3 linked regions of the Drosophila melanogaster genome follow. The protein of the gene in region 2 purifies or fractionates together with the protein of the main gene of each other region. This does not show direct contact. Each region holds a gene or a part of one and is shown on either strand. Other genes may lie near its edges. The genes, in order: Su(dx), Pez and kibra.

What was found.
Region 1: the proteins of Pez (region 2) and Su(dx) purify together in Drosophila melanogaster (affinity purification with western blotting; one study listed by BioGRID). This does not show direct contact.
Region 3: the proteins of Pez (region 2) and kibra purify together in Drosophila melanogaster (affinity purification with western blotting; 2 studies listed by BioGRID). This does not show direct contact.

What each region holds. Positions count from the first base shown.
Region 1 is NT_033779.5:2,033,763-2,041,630, reverse strand, and holds the start of Su(dx) (suppressor of deltex), read right to left. Parts: upstream 3,918-7,868; 5' UTR 3,407-3,917; intron 3,104-3,406; exon of another isoform or gene 2,990-3,103; intron 1,899-2,989; exon of another isoform or gene 1,827-1,898; intron 1,702-1,826; 5' UTR 1,640-1,701; coding exon 1,477-1,639; intron 1,415-1,476; coding exon 1,272-1,414; intron 1,210-1,271; coding exon 58-1,209; intron 1-57. Other genes in the region: lectin-22C, read left to right, coding at 4,384-5,175; CG42296 (uncharacterized protein), read left to right, coding at 5,695-5,749, 6,067-7,868.
Region 2 is NT_033779.5:6,335,075-6,342,942, forward strand, and holds the start of Pez (Pez), read right to left. Parts: upstream 3,598-7,868; 5' UTR 3,574-3,597; intron 3,420-3,573; 5' UTR 3,069-3,419; coding exon 2,984-3,068; intron 2,198-2,983; coding exon 241-2,197; intron 180-240; coding exon 1-179. Other genes in the region: Cpr (cytochrome P450 reductase), read left to right, coding at 7,100-7,275, 7,653-7,868.
Region 3 is NT_033777.3:14,721,229-14,729,096, forward strand, and holds the start of kibra (kibra), read right to left. Parts: upstream 3,034-7,868; 5' UTR 2,346-3,033; coding exon 2,083-2,345; intron 1-2,082. Other genes in the region: CG7530 (uncharacterized protein), read right to left, coding at 3,931-4,161, 4,229-4,702, 4,812-4,919, 5,962-6,099. UniProt on the Drosophila melanogaster protein: Regulator of the Hippo/SWH (Sav/Wts/Hpo) signaling pathway, a signaling pathway that plays a pivotal role in organ size control and tumor suppression by restricting proliferation and promoting apoptosis.

The sequences.
Region 1 (7,868 bases), 4.3 Mb from region 2:
TAAATAAAGGAACGAGTTAAAATAAATACTTTTTCTAATCTAGACAAACGGCTTTACCTTCTTCTCCCAGCCATCTGGTAGTGGACCCAGTGCATCCTCGTCGTCCTGCGTCACCTGGGCTGTCACCGCCGTTGGTTGCTGCTGCTGCTGGGAGTACAGGTATCGCTGGTTGCCTTGAGACACGACGTGGGCCCGCTGACCCTGCCAGTGCTGGAAGTGCATCAGACGCTCACTGTTCGGCCGCTGCCAGGTAGTTTTTCTTGTGTTGTGGTCTACGTAGTAAACTCGACCGCGCCCATCCTTCCTGATCTCCCAGCCCGGGGGCAGCGGTGTCGGTTTCTCCCAGTATGTGGATCGTGTATTGTGATCTACGTAGTATCTGCGACCGTACTGGTCCAGACGGATTTCCCACCCTGCAGGCAGCGGCTCATCATCCGCTGGTTGTGTCTGCAGTTGCGGATCTGTGCTTTGGCTCACGGGCAGTCCAACTCCTGGCTGTTCAATTGGTGGGCCTGCTACTCCAGGTGGTCCTACTGCTGCTCCTCCTCCAGCTGGCAAATAAACAGCAGCTGGTTGTGTATTCTCTGGCAGCGCTCCGTACACTTGGGTTAGAGGACGAGCTAGTGCGGGAGCTGGTGGCTGCTGAGGATACGGAGCTGTCTGCGGCACGGCCGCCCCACTGCCATTGACCATTCTCAGGGGCTGCTGTTGATTCTGGGATTGCTGCTGTTGCTGTTCCCACACCGGGGGCGCCTGCGTAGATCTCCTGTGATCTCCACCTCCATTCGGCAGAGGAGAGCGGGTCTCTCCGCCGTTGCTATTTCCACTGCTCGAGCGTAGTCGCATCCGTGCCCGTACTCCACCGTAAATCATGCAACTTCGTCCGGCGGCCGCATCACTGACCACCGACGGATTGACCGCCTGGACGGGTGGATTGCCATTCTGTTGGCCAGCCACTGGCTGAATCTGCAGCTTGCTCATATCGAGTTTGAGGCCATTGAGGATGGCCACTAGTTCGCCGCTCTTCGTCTGGCGATTGTCCGACTTGCTGGTGACGAACAGGTCGATGGTCAGCTCAAGGAACTCGCACCGCCCATTGTAGTGCTGCAGAATGTGCGCCAGGTTGATGATCCGCTCTCCAAGCATGGCATCTTTACGGAAACTGGAGTGATCCAGCACTTTGAAGTGCAGCGTTGAATTGGGTGTAATCTAGAGACGATAGATCCCGTGGATATTACAAATAATTGACTTTTATTACTGTTTCTACTCACCAGCACTGTGAACTCCTCGTTCCACTTGGGCAAATAGCTGTTCTTCACCAGGTCCGTTTTCCGCTTGCTTTTGCTGTCAATCAAGAGCTCCACGTAGGGATTTGGCTTGAGGAAGCCATTGTTGCGCAGCGAAGCCTCCTCGACTGAAAGGATTTGGGGCCATTATTGATTGAACAGAATGTTTCACTTTCTTTTGTTTGCTCACTTGTCACGCTTAATTGATGATATCCTTGATTGGCACTCCCACTGGCCCCCGCCCCCGAGCTGGAGGTGGGCGTGGGGCTGGCGGATCCCGCTCCATTCACTGTCTGCCCGGCTTCCATGCCGCCGGAAGCTGCACCCGCTGGCAGCCCATTTCCATCGGCCATTTAGTGGCTGAGTGTGTGAGTGCTCCTGGTGCTCCGCCTCCTCCTCCGCCTTATATTCCTCCCTTTGAGTGAAGAGAAAGCCAGTATTGAGCACGCTGCTATTGAATATTGGTGGTGGAAAGTATCGAATGGGGGGAAATTGCGTGTTCTGGACTGATAAGATAAGTCCGGAACACGGTCTACATACGTAAATGGTTTATCAATACCCAAAAATGTACAATGCTGTTGAACAGGAAGCTTTTATAGAGTGGAAATAACTATCCGAATAAAAGTGTTGTACACACTTTTGCTAGGTTTACAGATTACCAACAGGCCTTTATGGGAACCCTGAGTGATTTACTAAGCACTTTTTAGGTGTTATGCAGTTTTCCTTAGTCGCTTTAAGCTCTCGACTACTTATACACCTGATCTTAGAAGGCAGATAATGCCAGCTCTATATCATTATGAAAGCGACTATCCGCAGATAAGATATGGCCTGTATAGCTTTGTGTATTATATAGTGTGTAAACGACAGTATGGCAACAAAACTGTTTGCGAATAGGCCTTCACTTTTTTGGTGAAATAAACTGCTCGAACAAATTGTGAGCTGTAAAATCGGCGCTAATGTATGTACAGTGCAACTCGGTCATATATGAAAGATAAAAATTATGCTATTTCAAGCGAAATTAATCATGACCAAACTGGGTAAACAGTTTATTAAAAAACTGAGTAATGTTTCTGATCCCAAAATATATTCTTTGACTAAGTGAGGCTAGAGTTCTAAATTATTGAAAGAAACTTGTATTACTATAGAAATTCCCCCAAATAAATATATAAATGCACTGATAAGTGCACTTGATTTCGTGGACTTTAAACTACTGGGAAGCACCGTATTATCGCCTATTAATTTTCTCCATAATTTGCGACTGCCACGGCTGTGTGCGTGTGTGTTTCCCTGTACTTTTTCGTACACACTCAGCACCGATTGCTGGTCATCCATAACTTTGATAGCAAACACCCCGCTACACAATAGATTGTATAATAATGTTGCCATGTGAGTCATCGGCTCAACGCGAAAAAGAAAACGGCAAGTGAATTCGGTTTCAATTGTTGAATGGCTATTGCATATTGATTGTGTGCAGGAAGCAACATGGCCGATATGGCGATACACAAGCCCACAAATAAGTTATTTTGTTATATATCGTCAGAACTGAAATCTCAATGCTTTAATGACTTCTTCGCTTTGCTTATCGGCATGCTGATAACTACCATGATTTTCTCGCTGTGTACCGTTCGCGATTTCTCTTTTGCTAGCGTTTTCACTACATTAATTAACCGAGAACACGTGAGCAAGTGCAGCTTGTTGTTTACCATTAGTGTCTACTCATCAGATTCTGTGACCGGATTGAAATCGATTTGGAAGGGCTTTGCATGGATCTGAATGGGACACAGTTCTCCGATCAATTAGCACGCACTTTCCGGCTCATTTCGCCTATCATTCGAGCGCTTATCAGTGGGCCGATGAACAAAGGGAAGCTATCTGGTGGGGCAGCCGGAGCGCGAGCCAAGCGAAGTAATCAGCAACAGCTGTCAATAAGCCTAGAATGCACTTCTCGCTCGATGGATGGGGAGGGGTGGTGGAGGGAGGGGAACTTGAACTTCCTTGAATTATCGACCGCAGGGCTTAGTCACCCACACAGCGCCACTATGCTACAGTACACACATATATATGTGTAGATATATATTTATTCGTGGTCATGTAACGCACGCCAGAAAGAAGGTAACTACCTCTCCCACTCCCACTCCTTCTGTGGGTGGGCGTGTGTGTGTTTGTGTGTGTGCGCTTGTAATTGAGGCAAAGGTCGCGACTTCCGTCCCGCTCGCACTCGCTGCCGCCGCTCTACCGCTGGCGAATTCCAATGCAAGAGGCGTTCCTTTTTGTTTTTAGCAATTTCTGGGGGTTTCTCCTCCTCCGTTTTCCTTTCCTTTCTACCTGTGTCTTACCTTCTGCTGCTTCTTCTTCTGCCTCTGGTGCTCCTACAACTTGCGCCTGTGTGTGTGGTTGTTGTCTCCTGTGTGCGGCTGCATGTGCGAGTGTGTGTGCGGGATTCTTAACTGGGTTTCCCGGGCCCCAAAATTGATGGCTGGATTATTGCACTAGTTGGCGCTGCCGCCCTCGCTTTGGTCCACGTAATCGCGAGCAGTTGATATCGCTGCACTAATTGTTTATTTGTTATTTTGCTTCGCTTGCAAGCAGCAATTTCTAGAGCTGCAACTTTGGACGATGTTTTTCGATACAACTGATGTGGCCACTCAGTGCGCGAATCGATAGGTTGAATTCAATTGGCGAGGCTTGTTATGCACGCTAGACTGGGTTGGCGTACTCGCTATATTGCCAACTTACATGTTCAACCAGAGTTGCCGTACAAGCTCAAAATGGAGTAGCCAACCAGATTTGAAAATGACCGCGAATAGGAATTAGGAATAAAAATAAGAACGTATTGCCCGTAGTCACAACAAAACAAAGGTAAATAATTAGCCAAAAAGTTATGCACCAGCTAGTACTTCTGGCCCCTCTGATTTTATTGGAATCTAAGCTTATTACTCCATATAAATTAGAAGCCCCCTGAATATTCATTACTCAGTTGCGTTGCTCATTGAATTTCTTTAAATGTTATTTAATTTTGTGGTGCTATTGAATAAATATAAAAGCGCGGATTCAGTTCATCGAATAACATAGTGTTTGGCAGTAAAAAGTGCTTACAATGCTAAAATCCGCAAGTGCTTTGCTATGTGGTCTTCTTGCTTTAAATTTGTATGGAGCTTGGGCAGAATCCGATGTGATTTGTCCTTTAAAGGACCCTCCTAGTCAATGTGGAGGATTCTGTCTGGGTGTACTTACGCCCGTGTTAAATCACCTGACCATTTCCCAAAATCTGGCGAATTCCAATAATTCAAGCAAGGCTAACGAGGTCCTGGTGAGACAGTACACGATGGAAGGCCAACTGACTGCTCTGCAGAATAAGCAACTAAGCATTGAAGTCGCACTGGATGCCCAAGGCAGAAAACTGAATGTTAACGAACAGAACTTTACTGAACGACTGAATTGCATGGAAGGCATACTGTCGGCCCTGGAGAAAACAGTCCTTGAAGTAAAAACCAAAATAAAATACCTCGGATTCGAGCAAATCGGCTCAAAGTACTATTACATAGAGAAAGTATCCGAGAAGAACTGGTCCACTGCTTCAAAAACTTGTCGCAATATGGGAGGGCACCTGGCCGACATTAAGGACGAGGCAGATCTAGCCGCCATCAAGGCGAATCTCAAGGAGGACACGCATTACTGGCTGGGAATCAATGACTTGGACCACGAGGGAAAATTCTTGTCCATGCCCACGGGCAAGCAGACTACCTTTTTGAAATGGGCCTCGGGGAGACCCTCTCAGTTGGACACCCTCAACTGCGTGTTCCTATACAACGGGGAAATGTACGATTACCCATGCCACTATACTTTCCGGTTCATTTGCCAGACCGAGGAGGAAGATTTAAATGTATGATTTAAATAGAAACCACATGAGAATAATAAAACCTTTGCTGATGCCGTAACACCTGTGATTTTTTATTCAATCCCTCAAGCCTTCATTAGCTTATCTCTATTACTCACTTTATGGTTACTAAATTTACCAGTTTCACGTTATATTGCACTTTTAGACAAACAAACTGCGCACAAAAAGTGAAATTTCCTTGATTCTCCGATCTTTCCAGTAGCACAAAAACTATTTGTTTAAACAATTATTAGCACTCGTTTTAAATACGAGCACTGAGAGCGGAGAGTCCAAGAAAATTCGTCGTATACCATGTTGTTTGTTCGCTTTCGGACTTTTTCACACATTGTCAAGAGTTTCAGAGAACGCGGCTCAAAGTGAAAATTATCAAAATTTAATGTGCCGACCGCTCCGCATCCGCAGTCATTCGTATCGCGGGCTTCGAACGGAGCAGATCGGAACTTACGGCTACGGACTTCGCACTACGGTCGGGAAGGATTACGCGAAGAGGATACGCGAAAAGGATACGCGATGAGGCAGCTGCTGGTTTACGCGTTGGTCGCGGGCTTGTTTTACTTTTCCGAAGGTAAACTCCACCAGCAAGTGTATTGTGCCAGATTTAAATCAGTTTTGGTTTTCCTACTTTCAAAGGAAAGTGTTCATGAATTCATAAACGTAATTCACTGAAGTATCCTAAAAAATAAAAAATGCCTTGAAATGAATAGTTACAATTATTACAAGAAAGTGAATAGCACCTTCCATTGCTTTAAAAATATGTACAAAATGAAACCATGTAGGAAAACCAAAACTTATTATTCGGAAATCTCCGCTAAAGTCGAAGTGCTTTTCCCATGTTAATGTGAACATTACTCCTTTTCCCATTTCCGCACTGGCTTAACGCAGGCAAGCCGTGCCCCGAAAAGACACGCCCCCACAAAACCCGCTGCGACGCCTTCTACAAGTGCCGGGAACTGCCCTCCAACTCGCACGTTTGGATTCCGGTGAAGTGCAACGAGGGATTGGTGTTCGAGTCCAGTTTGGGCAGCTGCGTTCTGCCTGGCGAGGATTGGGAGTGCATCACCCCGAGTGAGATGAGCTCCACGCAGTCGCCACCTGGGAGGCCGGACGCGGACATACTGATAGTCAACGACATGGACGAGGCGGGTCTGCTTTTGAGCGACTCCAGTCACAAGGACGATGGCACCGTGGAAATAATTCTAGACTCCACACTGAGCAGTGAGGAGAATGAGGTTAATGAGGAGGCGGCCAAGAGCAAGCCGCAGCCGGAGGAGGACTTCTCTTCCAATCACAACTTCGACTCGAGCGGCGATGGGGAGCTGGTGGAACTGGATTCCCCCGCTGGTCTGAAGCCCGAGAACCGCGAGGAGGTGACTTCCAGCAGCATGGAGCACAGAACAGAGGTGGAAAAGCTAAGAACGGAACTTAAACAGGTGGCTGGTATCAGCGAAATAGCCAAGCCGGGATCGCCCATCGATCCCAGCCTGACTGCTCACCTGCAGAGATTGTCCCAACTGATTGATGGACTGCAGCAGACCTACCAGAAGACAGATAAACCTCAGACGGAAATGCGACCAGACCAGTTGAATGCTTTTCTGGCGCACTTTGACATCAAGAACCGGTATGAGATGATGAACCCCATGGAGCAGACCTCTTCCACAATCACCACCACCACCAGTACCACAGAAGCACCCAAAATAAAGCCAAGGCTACCGGAACCCACCTCGAATAAGACCCGCCTGCAGGAGCACCTGAGCCACCATCGCCTGGAACCGGAGACGAAACTAATGCTCAGCAATGCCGTGCCCTACTCCTCGCATGGAACCACCGGGCAGGGATATGCCAACTCTCAGATAGTGGTGAATCGCCCCGAAGGCTCTGTGATGTTTGCCCTGCCGCCCAATTACGGAATGAGCCAGGAACAGGGTTCGTATGTAAGCCACCAGAGTCACGAGTACAGCGATCATGAGCCCAAGATATCGGAGGACACCTTGAAGACGGTTCTGGAGCTGTCCAAGCAAATGATCGCCGCACAAAACCTGCCCAAAGTGCTGCCCAATCCGGGCTTCAATGGTGCCTATTACCAACCCATTCTGCAGCCTGTTTTCATGTCGCCCCAGGGCAATCCCTTCCAGCAGTACTACGGCATGCCGCCTCCCTTAAATCCACACTACATGCAGCACAAGAAGCACTCCGCTGGAGGCGGTTCCTCTAGCAATGGCTATAACAAGCCCAGCACCACCATTATTCACAACAATGTGATACCTGTTCACCTATCCAGCACGAGTTCGGGGGAAAAAGAGGTGCTGGACACCTATGGCAATAGTTTGGGGGTATATCCCAGCATGGATAAACATGTGACCGCCAGCCAGGCCAGTGGCATGGAGTACATGACCACAGCTCGGCCCGTTACGATCGCAACTACTGCCAGCACCTACTCCGCACAGTACGGATCCCAGTCCCCGTTCGCCAGTGACTACACCCTGACCACTCCGCGACCCTTTGAGCAGCAACCTTCAGCCGCCACAGTGGCCACGTACTATACTCCAAGTCCGCATTTGGGCGAGCACAACGCGAATAGGGTATACCAACCCACCGAATCGTATCCCACGATGAATATACCCAGACCCATGGACATGTTTCCAGGACAAATCGATGCGGACAGGGTGAGCATTCGACCCAACTCG
Region 2 (7,868 bases):
CTCTCTGTGGCAGGGGTACATTCTCGTAGATGGGCTCGATGGAACCGTTCACCAAGCTCCTCTGTAGTGGCGCCGGTGTCGCCGATTTATGGGACGAAGCAACCACCGGCGGTGGAAGCGGGCTGCTCGCTGGCGGGGGCACAGAACTACGATATCCACTCGGCGGCAGGGTAGGTGAACTGCAAGATCGTAGCGAAAAGTATTGTTATATTGTTTATTTTACGACTTCATTACACTTACCTCTGCGTTACCACAGATCCGGCAGCTGCAGCTGCTGCCTGACTCATCGCTGACTGTCGCAGCTGGGACATTATAGACGGCTGCTCCTCGATCATGTTGAGGTTCTCGAAGGTGCCGTGCGGGGGCAGATAGGGCTGCGAGTGCCCCATGTGGCTCACGTACTGGTACTGGTGCAACATGGTGGCTCCGGAAGATGTTGGAATATTTCCGGCATGTCCGCCTGCGGGCAGAGCAACGTACTGACCGCCATTGAAGAGCGTGCGGTTAGAGACTAGATCCGGCGAGGAGCCGCTTACGTAGTTGCGGAAACCCTGAAGGGGACGGGGAGTGGCCACGGCCAGATCGGGCGTGGAGGAGGAACTCAGCCGATTGACATACGGCGGTGGGGCCTTGTGACGCATCATATGCATGCGCTGCGAGAGCTCTAGGTATGCCTGGGCGGGGCTCATGGGCTGTGGATGTGACTGCGGTTGATGCTGTGCCTGGTACAGGTTGATGTGGTGGTGTAGGGCAGCCGCCGGCTGGGCCACGTCCGGATAACGATGCGCAGTCATATGACCATACAGTAAGTTCTCGTTGTGCATGCCTGGATTGTGTACATCAGGCTGGGAGCCCGCATAGTAGGCATTTCCGGGCGCGGCCATTGCCAGTGCCACATTGTGGAATTCCGCCGATGGTGTGCGGTACTTTAGTTGGACCGCCGTCTCATAGTCTGGTGCCGGGCGGTATGTGGGCAGCATGGCTTTGAGGCGCTCCCGCTCATCGTTGTTATTGTTGTTGTTGCTGCCTCCGTGGTGCAACATGCCACTGCTGCTGTGCAGGTTGTTGTTGCTCAAATCCAGGCAGGAGCTGCTTTGTCCCAACATCTGGTTAGCGCTGGTAGCCAGCGAAATGTTGGAGGAAATCATCTGCTGCTGCTGAATCTGTTGCTGCTGCTGCATATGTTGCTGCTGCTGATGATGCTGTTGCAGTTGCTCGGCGGCCGCCGCTTCATTGTAATCGTAGTCGACATAACCAACGCTGTCAACGCCCAACGGACCACTCTCCGCATCCGCACCACTTCCCAGGCTCGAGGGCGTGGCCGTGTCAATATAGCGCTTGAAAAACTTATGCTGGCTAATGGTGAGCTTCCAGAAGTAACGTGCCGTGTCCGCCTCGCTGAATATAAAGCTTCCCACGATGCTGCCGCCACCATCCAGCTTGTTCTGCTCGATCTTAATCGTTCGCTTGTCGATGGTCACCGTGTGGAACTCCTTCCATGGAAAATACTGCCGACCGTTGTCCGCGTTCACCACCATCCCGTTGATGGCCAGGCCCAGCAACAAATCATTGCCGAGCGTGTCCTTGGCGGCGAAACGTTCCTCCCCATACCCCTCCAGCTGCTGGCAGCACTGTATGTACATCTCCTCCGCCTGGCTCTGACTCAGATGTGCAATGCCCGCCTGCTGCTGCAGGACCTCCACGATCAGTCCCTCCAGCATGCTGTCATCGTTGGCCAGGCCTTGCATGTTGCGCGGCAGGACCAGCGACTTCTTCAGATAGTCCTTGCTCTGTTTGTCGCCCTGGTAGCTATCGTACTCCGCCTGGCGGCAGTAGAGCGCCAGCAGTATGGCCGTGCGGATGTCACAGGCGATGCGGCCCTCGTAGATGTCGCTCTTCAGCTGCAGAAAGTAGTAAAAGCGCGTGGCTTCGTCGCTCAAGTGGCGCACGCCAGTGGTCACGTAGTGGCGAACGCGCAAGTAGATCTTGGGGCCCGCCGCATACTTCTCCAGCTGCCGACTGAGCGAGCGCTCCAGGTCGATCCATTTGAACTCGTCCTCCTTGTCCTTGCCCTTGACCAGGTAGCGCAGTCCAAAGAACTCCGGCTGCTGGATTAGCAAACGTTGGCAAACGTTGTCCAGGCACTCCTGTCCCTTGCTCTCCGAGCTGATCGTGCAGTCCACTGTGCTGGATGTGTCTGCAATGTAGGTAAGAGTGAAAACGTGCTTCAAACATCGGCCTAAGTCGCTCCAAGCACTCTAAATTCGCCGCACAACAACAATTTGGCCCTGCCCGTCGCACGCGCAAATATGCAAATAAAGTTTATAATCTCTTTCGAGACCTTATACGTTTTATGGACGGAAATTGTGGCGGCGCCGCTCAATTGGCTTCTCTCATCTGTCGTATTTCCTAACTAACGAAACGTAGGCCTAATGTCTAAAACCTTTCTGATGGTTGGAGAAATTTGGGTGGTTTTAATTGAGTCAAGGTCTTCAGTTCGCTTGCCAAATAAGTACATTCGGTTAAGTGTATAAGAACTACAAAACATGCTTTTGTTTAGCCCAAAATCGAGAGTAAATAATATACAAAATGTGAAGTACGCAAAGTTAGGAAGTTCTCATAGGCAGTCTGTTAGTTTTAGAATTAACGGTCGCTGTTATGTGTCCTGTGCGCCTCTGTTAACTCAGCGACTGTTAACTAGAATGCAACAAGTGAAGGCATTTTTGTGGTCTGTGCCTTGGAAGGCGAATTCCAGCTAAACTGGAAGTGGGCGCCGCATGACAATCGTTGTGCACATTCCCAATTAAATAATCCCAATTGCAATGGCAGACGGCAGCTGTTAAGTTGTGGCTTTGTCACCGATTTCTTGTTGTTTCTATTGTCTCGTCTCCACTGTTGCTATTGCTGTTGTTGTTGTTGTCGTTGCTGTCGCTGTTGTTGTTGTGGGGGGCGTAGCGCCTCTAGGAATGTGGGGCTTACTCACCCAGCAGGTGATGCACTGATATAACAAACAAACTCTTGGACGTAACATTGTACTGGCGACACTTTTTCAAGAATTTCAATGGCATTTTTCGACTATTTTGCTCCACCGGGGCTCCGCTGGGCTCACAAAAGTGGCTAAAACGGCAGCACCATCGACACCACAGGTTTTTTTTGGGGGAGTAAATTGCTCAATTGGAATTAGCCGATTTGAATCAGCTGATTAGACACGCAAACCAGAGCACTGCGCGTATTGGTTAAGTAAAGTTAAAGATAGTAATTGGGCAGTTAACGACAATAAATAAAGGAATTCACGAGAAATAAAACGAAGAGACCGAAGTGCTGATATCGATACGCAGGTGCTGACTGAGTATCTCGGTGGCTGGCATCGAATGGATCGATAGGCGGCATTGACTATCGGTATGTCTTTGCGCAGTGGGCTGCAAGAAAATAGGTTTAGTTCTGTTAAAGAAAACAAGTGCAACCAAGAAATATGTAACTGAAACAAAACAGTTTATATTTTAAAATATATAACAATGCAGTCAGCAGTGATTAAATAAAATTCCTAAAGATATTAAAACCACTGATACACACGAATACTTCGTTGTACACAGCAAGAGAATAACGGTTTCTAGCGAACAGTAAAATATCAAACTTAACAGAGCTACTGGACACATAGGTGGCGTGCTGGCATAGCTCTGTTATCCGTTCCAACTCCAGTGCTGGAAAGTGCGCGCAACTGAGAAATCCACACCGCGATTCGACGACGGTCCCTCTGGAATTCAGTAATTTAGTACTGCTGCTGCCGTGGTAGTCGTCACTTCCCCTTTGCACTTGCCGCCCTCCGTCAACGTTTTATCGAATAAAGCGAATTAAAATTAAGATCGTGGCTTCGCCCCGCTGCGTAACTGAATAAAGCGAATTTAAATCAAGGGCTTTGACGTCTGCCAAGCTGCTGAGAGGGGCTGCAACAGGAAGAGCACCAGAGACGGGGCACAAATCCACATCCACATCCACCGATCGTCGTCTATCTACAGAGGATTAGGAGCAGCGCAGTCGGAGATCGCGATCGGTGAGTTTCGAGGAGCCGAATCACAAGGCCACGCACTGTCGAAATCCAAAAAGCAAAACCCGATTACCAAAATCGAAATCCAGTCCATAATTAATTTGCTGCTTAGATATTTCGAGCGCTGCATTGGCGGTCAAGGTTGCAGCGACGAGGACAGATGATGGAGCAACCGTATCGCTCACTCGCTCGCTCACACACACACACACACACAGAAGAGCCCTGCGAGCGAGTTTAAAGTTCAGTACCTGTTGCTGCGCTCGCCCAGTCTCCCTCTCCCTCTCGCTCTCGCACAGCCTCGCCGCCGCCCGTGCGATAGTGCGCTCTCGCTCACTCCGTCCGCGCTGCGTGTAATTTAATTTAATTCACTTCTGTTATTAATTTGCGCTATTTGCACGCTGTATCGCCGCCTTTCACGTCTCAAACCGAGTCGTAGGCCGAATTGCATAACCAAAAACGCGACTCGGGTCGCCAATCGGCCATCAAGTTACTTTTCTGCTCGTGGCTCTCCGCTGAGAACAGCTGTCGACTGTCTGCTTCCCGTACAGTAAGCACTCGATATGAGCGACGAAGCTATGTTCTTAATTTCCGTTAACCTGCCTTTCCTTATTCAAAAAATCAACATTTGAAAATCCTAAGTACACCAACTTTACACATTTTCCAATTGGAGTTGGCGTTGCATTTAGTTTCCAATTTATTAAAAACAATTTGTGAAAAAAGCCAACCGATATATTGTTTTATGCTAATTAAACACACACACATTAATGACGATGTAAACAAAATCCTAGTATCAAAATTTACTACAACGAAATTGAAAGTGGCTTAGTTCGAAAAGCCGAAGTGTGTATACTCTTGCTGCCTTGTATAACTGAACTCTGTAAAATCGTTCCATTTTGAAAGAACTAAGAACTTAGTAGGAGATACTGCAAGTCTAGGTATGTACGTACATACATATTTACATATATATAAATCAGTTAAAATATAAAAATTGTACATTGTTGTACACTTCCTAAGAACTTTTATGGATAAAAATTAGTTCTCTGAAATTCAAGTTCAAAGACAAACTAAATAAATATATTATATTATATGTTATGACACCCCATTATAGGGTTACCTACCTATTAAAGCTAGACTATTAGTTCTTCCAATTAAAGAACCATTAAAAGGGCAGGTTCCGTAATGGGATTACATTTAATGGACTTCGGTTAAAGTGAGCGCGGAGTTACATTTCATCCTTTCCAGACAGCCAAACTAGGTTTATGATAACGAAAGCCACTTGGGCGCGAAATAAATATGCATAGTCATGCTTACTTTATAATTCTCCGTCGATTCGGACGAGTAATTCGAGAGTGTCATCGTGTTTAGGGAATTTTAAAATCACATATGCCAAGCGAGATTCTAAGCGTTATCACGCACATTACAAGTGTGTAGGGTGATACTAGATGGGCGTTTGTTGTGACTAGATCGTAAACTTTGTTTGAATAGATGGCTAAGCAGAAATAACCAAGATCATTCATCTCATTCATTTAGATTAACTACTTAGTCGTAAACTAGAAAAAGAAGCACTCAAATAAAGAGTGTTTTTGGAGGAAACATATACACATTTGAACGAGTTAGGATCTATTGTTTCGTAAAAAAAACTAAAGAAACCGAATTTATGTTAACATTTTTGGAACATTTGTTGGTTTTCGTGATATATATGTGTGCTTCCTAACACAATTTAATCATTGCGCTGTCGTCATTCCGTCAATCGAACAGCACACATGGGTGACCTATAAAAAGACGCCAATTTTATGTTCACCTCCACTTGTTGTCAGTGTTGGTTGTTATCGGGAGCGTCGAACACATACCTTCCTCGAAATCGGACGAGAATGACGATACTGGCGTCGATTTGCATATGCCTCGCATGTGTTTAATATTTATTTTCTGCCTTTTGCTGACCACAGCAACAAGAACTATTACGCGACTCTATACAAAGTTCACGCACGTAGCGGCGCATTAGCAACATTAAAGCATTAAGTCAAACCCGAATTCAAGGTGAAAATTCAGTAGAGCTCCTTAAGCCCCCACAAAACAAAAGATAACACCTGGGATCAGCTCAAACTTCCAACTGCTTAAGTTGAGAGTTCTAGTAAAAATGCTTTCGGCACTAGTTAAAACTCAAAGCAGTCGGGGCGAATTTCATTGAACTCCAAGTGTGCATTTCAAAACCCAAACTCTAGCTTAAGTAAACCCTCTCAATTTGCATTTCCTATGCTTTTTTTTATAAATTCGGGTAAAGAAACGTATACAAACCGTATATGTACATTAAAATCTTTAAGTACTTCATAAACTGAATCCTAATGAAAGGGAATGTATTTTGTTTGGGATGATTTTAATCCGATTTCACATTGACAAGTACCAAAGCCTTTGCTTAGTGCAATTGGCGATTTCCTGGAACAACGGCTGGTAAAGGTGTTAATCGAGTGATTGGAAATCAAATTTCGTTATTTTGCGCCGCTCAAAGAGTATTTGCTTGGGAACAGCGCATTTCGAACGCTTTTACTCGTTTTCATCATATCTCTCGACCGGCGACGGCATTCGATAAGCGCGTGCATAAAACCTGTTGCTCCCGGCGGTCAGTGAGCAGTGCTCCCTAACGCGAAACACACGTTGCGTCGCCACAGAGGCGGATCCAATCGAATTCATAGCTTTAATTGCACCAGTGCAGCACTGCAAGTGATCGACGGAGTAGTCGTAGTTGTCAGTGCAACGGGAACGTCCCAAGGTACGATCGATTAAAACCAGATGCGCGATTTCAATGTCAACCGGCGGCGCTGGCGGAACATCCAGCTAGAGCGGTACCTTGCACCGCTAAGACAAGTGCGGAAGCGGACGGACTACCGTTAGACGCACAGGCGATGCTACGCCGCCAGCGCTGGTATACGTGGAATACATTAGAGTGCGTGTCCAAAGTGCGCGACATGCAAATGGAGCTAGACCAATGTTATGCAAAGCGAAAACTAAAGCGCCGTGAATTCTGTGCCCTTTTTTTGCAGTCATACACGTACCACCATGGCCAGCGAGCAAACGATTGATGGAGCAGCCGCAATTCCCAGCGGCGGCGGCGACGAACCCTTCCTGGGACTGCTGGACGTGGCCCTATTGGCGGTGCTAATCGGCGGCGCAGCCTTCTACTTCCTGCGTAGCCGCAAGAAGGAGGAGGAGCCAACCAGGAGCTATTCCATACAGTAAGTATAGTTAAATTTGAGCAATCTAAAGCAATCTAATCCGAAGTCCAAAACCATGGCAATTCTTGAATTGAATAGTCAGTTTCTTGATAAACCTTTCAAAAAACATGCATATCACGCGTACAATTCAATATTTAAAACTGCTTCTTGAATGAAATGCCCTCTAGATCTATTCGGTTCATTCCGTCACAGATCCATATGTTCCGCCGATTTGTTGGAATCGATCGGCCATTATTTGACGCTGAATGATTCACACATCGCAAATGAATGTGTGAATACCATTGTGTGATTCATTCGTTGATCTGAGTGTTTACCTGCGTGTTAAGATAAGATTCAAATTTGGCTGAGATTTTAACGCATATCTTTACCTTCTTCAGACCCACCACAGTGTGCACCACCAGTGCGTCGGACAATTCGTTCATCAAGAAGCTCAAGGCATCCGGACGCAGTCTGGTCGTCTTCTATGGCTCACAGACCGGAACCGGCGAGGAGTTCGCCGGCCGTCTGGCCAAGGAGGGCATTCGTTACCGTCTGAAGGGCATGGTTGCCGATCCCGAGGAATGCGACATGGAGGAGCTGCTGCAGCTGAAGGA
Region 3 (7,868 bases), on a different chromosome or scaffold from region 2:
TTCTGTGATTTCTGTTGGCTGTGCTCGAAACGTGGCGAGGCCTTTAAAGGTTGCCCGAGGCCTGGCTCGCTTCGCTTTATTGTAGAAATTTATTTATGGTTTATTGGAATTTTTGCGCGCTACCGGCAGCAATTTTGAAAATTCAATAGCAATAGCAAGTTGGATGCGGGGGATCGATAGACAGCCGAAGAGGGGACCAAAAAGCGTATATGATTTGGATACAAAATATGCGCGACTGGGCAAAATACCAATAAGGGGTGTATACAGCATTAAATAGTTTTGTTTGGTCAATAGAAATGGTAAAACTATTTTGGAAAAATATGGAATAGTTAGTTAAATTCGAAGACATACTTTGCAGATGTATACAGAAAATACCAATAAAACATTTACTCTTGTTTTTATTTCTTATATTCTATGGTATCCCTCTTCATAATCTGATTGGTTTTTCAAATAGTAAGTAAATCCCCTAAGGTCATTTAAGCTTTAAATTTCTATAACCCCGAAATCGGAACGTAACGCTCATAGATCGCTGACTTTTTGTGCCCACTGGCAGACATTTGAACGACATGTGTGCATTTATAATCTACTTGATGCATAACCCTAGCAAATGCGCAGATGTTTCGTTTCAATTTCAAAGGCGGGCGGGCGGAAGAGCTGAAATTCCACAACGCTTAATTCAGTGAAACATTTTCAACAATGTCCATGCGATTTGAAACAAACAAAGGGAATGTTTGTGTTAATTGAAAGCGTGAAGCGCACACAGCACCAAACGAACTGAAACAATAAGGCGTACACAGATAGAAATGCACTGGAAAAAATTAATATTCAAGCTTTGATGGCTTAATAAATCATTTGCAACGTGATATTGAAATTATAGAGTGTGTCTAATGTCAATGAAAATGCTGTACAACTGCAGAAAGGCAATAAGCATTTGCTATCGAGCAATTGAAGATACAAAATCCATCTAACACTACACATTTCTCTATCTGTGAAAAGCGAAAAATTGAACTCAGCGAAAGAGAGGGCGAAGAATTTCAGAAATCAATTATTTCGAAACTGCAAAAATTCCTACGTACATTTTGCAATTGTTTATGGGCAAAGCAACAGACAGAGATGGCGAGTGGGGCGGCAGCGAGGGGCGCGAGCGAGATGGAAGACAAAAAATGTGAGCGAACGGCAAACTAAAATGTATCTATGAGATACATGGCCTGATCGCCAGCGCTCTCGCTCGCTCTCCTTTGGCTCTCTCGCACTCATTACGTATGAGTTTGTTGGTTTTGTTTTCCTTTTATTTTACAGATCATTCGCCGAGCTTTATTTAACTTTTGCTCTCTCTCACTCGAATTTTTGTTGTTGTATTTCCCTGGCTTTACAATCCATTTTTTGTTTGTTGCCACTCTCTGTTCAGTTCAGTTATATTCGGAGTCTTAATCATCGCATCGGAATGTTTACTCCAAGTTTTTCCCCCGTTCCGTTGCGTTTTGTTTTGCCTGCTGCCGCTGCTGTCTTGTTTAAAATATGTAATTTATTTTGCTGCTGCCTCTTTATTTTATTTTCCTTTTATTTTTCTTTTTTTTTTTTGCTTCATTTCGCCTCCACCGATCGCATTCCTTTACACACACAGCTGCAGCACGCACCTTTTCTTTCCGGTTCAAGAGCGCTTCGGAATCGGAATTTATATGGGTTTTTTTTTTAGCTCGTTTGCCGGAGCTTCCTGAATGAGTGAACTGCTGATCTCTCACCTGCGTTTTATGCCTTCTTAAGCCACTAACAACTTGCCAAGAATTTTATTCTATTTTAATTTGATTCTCAATGAGTTATCTGCTTCACTTATTAGCCATTAAGCAGCAATTGGGGTTTATAAGCACTCTTGATAGTTTGCGATGTTAAAGCATCTATAACTTATTTAAAACACAACCTGTTGGTTTGGTCATTCGTTATGTATGCCTCATTTCTGATAATTGTTCTAGTAGTTTTAATAAGTTTAAACTAACTTTCCAAATGCAAATATCTTATAATTATATTTCAGATCGCCCTTGTTTCAATTTCGTTTCTTTAATTGACCCTTTCCGGAACACTTACCAATCTCTGGGATCCAGCCAGGTGGTCTTCTTGTTGATATGATCTATGTAATAGGTCTTGCCATCGAAATCCTTGGCGATATCCCAGCCATCGGGAAGTGGGAAGTCGCTGTGGTGTTGTTGCTGCTGCTGATGATGCGTGTGTTGTTGTTGTTGCTGTTGTTGATGATGATGATGATGTTGCTGTTGCTGCTGTTGGGGTCGCAGGTGGTGGGGATGCAGATGATGCTGCGATTGCGATGCGGTTTGTTGCAGATTCGGCATTTTAACTTTGTTTCTCGCCGTGTACTTTGGTTAGTCTGAGAAAACGTCGTTGTTGCTGGATTTTTCACCCGACGCGCGCCTTTTCTTTCTTTTCGCTATTGCTATCTACGTTTGCTTCTTTTTTCGGGGGGTTTCTCTTTGCGCTGTTTACATTAGCAAAGACATTTCAATTCCGTTTCTTTTGCTCCGGCGATAATGGAGACCGACCCGCACACACACACACACAACACGGCCACACGGTGACGGGCGTAGAGGCACACACCGAGCCAACTCGAATACACACGCGCGCAGGGGAGAGAGAGCGGGAGAGCGCGGGCGCGCTCTCAATTATTTATTTACTTTTTTCGTAACTGCATTCCATTCCAGCTCAAACACACGCACACATATGGGGGACGAACACAAGCGCACACGATCACTGCTCACAGTTGGTGCTGCTTCTTTTCATTTCTTGTTGTTGCAAGCGTTTGAACTCCTTTACTTATTTTCTTATTTTCGCCTAATTGAAACTAATTAACGACGATAATCCAACCATCCACTTGGTGTTCACAAAAAAATATGTACTTCAGTTTAGTGAGTTCGCGCCGTCGCCGATCTCTTCGGTTCCGGAATTCCTTGGGGGAGCAGCAAAAAACACGAGTAGCGCGCTTGATGACCGTCCGATTCGGATTCGGAATTTGTTTTGGTAACATTCGCTGCTAGTGGTGTAGCAGAAAACATCGCATTGCATATCGATACACTCGCGGCGATGTTATTCGATGTATTGGTTGATATCGATATTATAGGCTGTATTGACGCGGTTGCAGAGATGCGATATTTAACAATCATGCACGAAAAGTATTTATTGTTATTTGGCTTGTGTAGTCCCCAAGCATAGGTGTAATTGTTGAGGGAAGAAAATAGGAGTTGTACGTTCAAAGATCGGCTTGGTAACAGGAACTAGTTCGGTTCTTCAAGCGATGTTAATCAAAGCCAGTTCCGATAGATCATGTTAACTCGCTCTGTTAACAATTACTGTTATCTTAATCCTAACATTTCCGTTACATTTTAAAAACAGAAAAAGAAAAAATTTAAAAAAAAAGACTGTAAACTGAGTTACGCATTTCGAAATCAATATGTATCCCAACCATAGATAGAAAAATAAATTATGTTTCCGAAACATAACTTCAATAAAACCACAATTTCGCTTGCTTTGTACGTTTGATATTGTATTTGCATTTTATGAATTGTAAAAATTGAGTCAACAAGACTAACACAGCTTCAGCTCAAGACACATGCAATTTCATTGACATTGTTTAATTGTATATATTAAAGGAAATCAATTAGGATATAAAGAGAGAAACCTTTTTGCCGCTTATGCGATGCCAACTATCTGGATCTGGATTGTCTAACACGAAACCCTAACTAATTGGTAAATTAAACATAAATTAATCATATCGGTCAACAACTACAACTAAATATTAGTTATTAGCGGATAAAGAGCGCCCCATAAACTATTTACACTAAGCTTTAGTCTACTAGAGTCCCGGATTCCATCTCCGCTCCTCGGATCTTCGGATCTTAACTCAGATGTTCGGATCTTCAAGTTCTAGGAGAGAACTGGTGCAGTGCATCCGTTATTCAGGCGATACTCGGCATAGACCAGTCCGGTGTTGTGCCAGTGATAGAAGGCGGCCACGATGATCAGGTGCCACCAGTTGTGCGAATGCCCAACGAAGTCCACCTTGCCGGTGAACCAGCGCTCCGGAATCTTGGCCGCATAGAAAACGAAGGCGACGAGGCAGAGCAAGTACATGAGCACGATGCGGGGCACCATCAGCTGCAAATGGTAATGATTGATGGATTAGCAAATGACAAGATTCCATAAATTTCCAACTGATGCCTACCCTGACTAGCTCGTTCTCCAGACCGCCCATGGCCACCGCCCAGTGGCCCAGAGGTATGATTCCATAGGCAGACCAGAGTAGCAGCACCGCCACCTTGCCGTTCATGGACACATTCAAACGGGGTATCTGCACGGCAATGGCCAGTGCGAACATGCCCAGTGCAATCGTGGAGTACAGGGTGCGCAGGAAGGTGTGGCACCAGAAGGCATAGTACATGCCACTGATATAGATGGCCACCAGCGACAGCGAAATGCCCAGGAAGTCAACGGACAGAAAGAGCTCGTAGTGCTCCTCCGATTTGCAGGAGAAGATGTGGTATATGGCGGACATCAGCATGCACAGACAGAAGCAGACCAGCAGGCAGACCACCAGCACCTGGTCGCTCAGGGAGGCGTGGAGGCGCAGGAACTGCAGATCGAAGATGGTCAGTCCAATGAACAGGATGCAACCGGCCAGATGGCTCCAGATGTTGATCTATGAAAAATATAGCAATAATAATGTTATAATAATAGGGAATAGAGTTTAAGGAAAACTATTGTAGCTCCAATTGGAATGGAGTATCATTCTAGTGTGGCAATCTTACCGTCTCATTGGTCCACCAGAAAATGCTCTGCAGGCACATTTTTGTGGAAGGTAGAAAGGTGCGGTATCCGCGACGAATGTACGGGTTGAACTTCAGGTGACTGGGGGCCTGTATCGAAAGCACAAGTGAATAAACATTCCAAATAAATACAAAATTTTCCAAGCCGATAAGACATGCAAATCGCATGCGTGTAGCATTGAAAATAAAATAAAAACCAAATAGACAAAATGACAAAATAAAATAGAAACAAACGGAATAATTCGAGGATCTGGCACCCCGCCGAATGTAAAAAAAAAAAACCAAAAAGCTTTCCATTTGCTTCAATTGAAAGAAAATAAAACTAATTAATCCAATTTGTGTTGTTAGCAATCTTGTATGGGAATTGATTAAATGCCAAATACTGTGTATATTATTTACTTTCTTTGAATTTAACTAGCTAAGTTTTATATATTATAAAAAATCCATTTAATTAGTTAAACAAGTGCTAAGCTAGTTTTGCACTGCATTTATGTATTATTACCTTAATTAATGCCTTTCAATCGGAAACAGTAATTATTTCAAGCCCGTTTTAAGCCCAGTTCGAAGTCGAATATTTAACTTGGTCAAAACTAAGCATGGTCCGAAAAACCCAAGAAATTCGATTCGGGAGTTACCTTGAGGATTTTCACAAACATATATGTATGTAACTTGCATACCACCCAAAGAAAACAACAGTAGCTTCTTTTTATTTGCCACCGCTATTTAAATATTTAATGCCCGCGAAGCACAGAGCTTTTTATTTGTTGCTAGTCGCGACCTTGATTCAGTTGGCATTTGGTGGGTTTGTTCGTTGTCTAATTGTATTATTTGGCAATTGCTGCCAACTCGACCGCCATGGCGGATTTCACATATTTAAGCGTTTTGGCCATTTTACAACGGTCGCTTAATAATGCTTTTCTGGCCATACATACATACGTATGACGATAACAATTGGCCAAAATCAGTGTTAAAGCCATGTAAAATGCAATGAGTGAATATTTTCTGCGATTTGTCCCTGATTCTGACGTATTTTTTCAATTCGCCAAACAAAATTTGCGATCAATTAGAATTCAGTGCGCGACAATTGGCGACAAATTGACCCTACCAAAGTTCGCGCGTGGGGTTAACTCACATCATCGAAATTGCACAGCCATTTGAATTTGGACAGCTTGTCGTCGTAGTTGGGTCCATGCCCCAGAATATTGGGCTCCTCATTGGACGGAAATTGATGCGCTGCGTCCACCGAATCCGCAACCAGTTGGCCATCAAGCTGCGAAAAGAGATTTAAGATGGAATTAGTTAAAATGGAGGAAACCCTATCGATTAGCGGCAATTCGAAACTTAATTTGAATTGAGGACAAGAACGATGCTCAAGATCTATACTCATATTCTTCCGCCTTAGAAAACTGACGTTGGCAACTGGCGGGTTTGTTTCTCTGCACATTTGTGTATATTTTTAGCCAATAGAGCAACTGCAGTCGAAAAATTGATTTGTTTGCTTTTATTTTATTATTATCTTTTCTGCGGTTTCTGCTATTTTATACGTTGTTGTTGTTGTTGTTGTTTTCGTCTGGGGGTTTTCGGTTTCGTGTGTAAACAACCAACCAACCAACCAACCGACTAACCAGCATTGCAAAAATGCAATCAAAACATCGCTACTATTAGTGCCTCCAGCAAACTGCAGCAAAAATTGAGAAAGGGGGCTTGACTCTAATTTGTTTATACAGCTTCTAAATCTAATGCATAACAACAAACAACAACAACAACAACAAGTGTGGGAGGGCAAGTGCAAGTGCCTAAGCAAAAGTATCTTATCCAACGTGATGACGTTTTGTTTACAATTTGCATTGTTTTTTTTGCATTCCGCTTTAAAGGAAAATCATGTGCAGTAAGCGTCGTGCCCATAAATGCAGCAGTAAGTATAAAAATATATGCATTTTTCAATACAAATTAAATATAACCGCTCATTAAAACGAAATACAGGAACAATTGAATTCCCAATCCTAATTCTTTTGTACAAGCAACAATTTCGTAGTTACTTAAATGCTAATTAAAAATCCATGATGTCAAAACTTAGCTACATTTATCAATTTTTAAAATTTACTCATGATCTAATAGTCACTAAAAGGCTAAATAGCTTTCGCTACCTATTTGTAAACAATGTTACTAGTAAGTGCTTTGTGGTTTACTCTGTCGTCATTATTAAATATTTATTTGACACTCAGGAACGTGTGGATTTATAGTAAATTTAGGCAAAAAATATATAGAAATTTTTCAATAATTTAGAAACATAAAAATATGTTTATGAAATGAAAATGAACCGCTATTTAACTTAAAGACATTCGTTAAGACAAGAAATGTACTATTATAATATTGATTGTTTTAATTTTAATAATTAAGGAACTAAAAGTTATTTGTGTAAAATGATTTTGAACAAAACTAAAATAAAATATAGAACAAATAATTTTACATAAAAATTATTATACACGAGCACGTCAACTTGACATTGCGGCTTGTTAAATATTTTCCAGCAAATGCACTTCACGAAAATGTTGTAGATTCCAAAAGATAAACACGGTAATTGTTGGCAAATAGAAAATAAAATGGAATGCCATCGATAAACAGGATGTGAAATTCATTAATTGGCCATTGACGTAGTTTAGCCAATTGTTTGTTCTACTGAATTGAAAACGTCAGATTTTTAGAGTTTGGAACGCAGCTTACATCTTTCTTTTTACTGCCGCGCATAGTGCATTTAAACTCAGTAGTAGTTGTTGTAGTAACAATTGTAGTTTCCATTTTACACAGGCACTTTTAACTAGTTGTTGAAACGTTTTGAAAGTATTTAGTTTTTAATATTTTATTCGCAGATAACTATTATTTTATTTCAACACACAAAAGCCAGCCAAGTGGACATTCCAAAACAATGTTTTCAAAGTTTTTTTTTTCGCAACTCCTTGGAGAGATTTTCAACTGAGCGCGGAAATTTTAGGGTGAACCGTTGCGATCGCCAACTTGCTGGCAACTAAAAAACCCCCC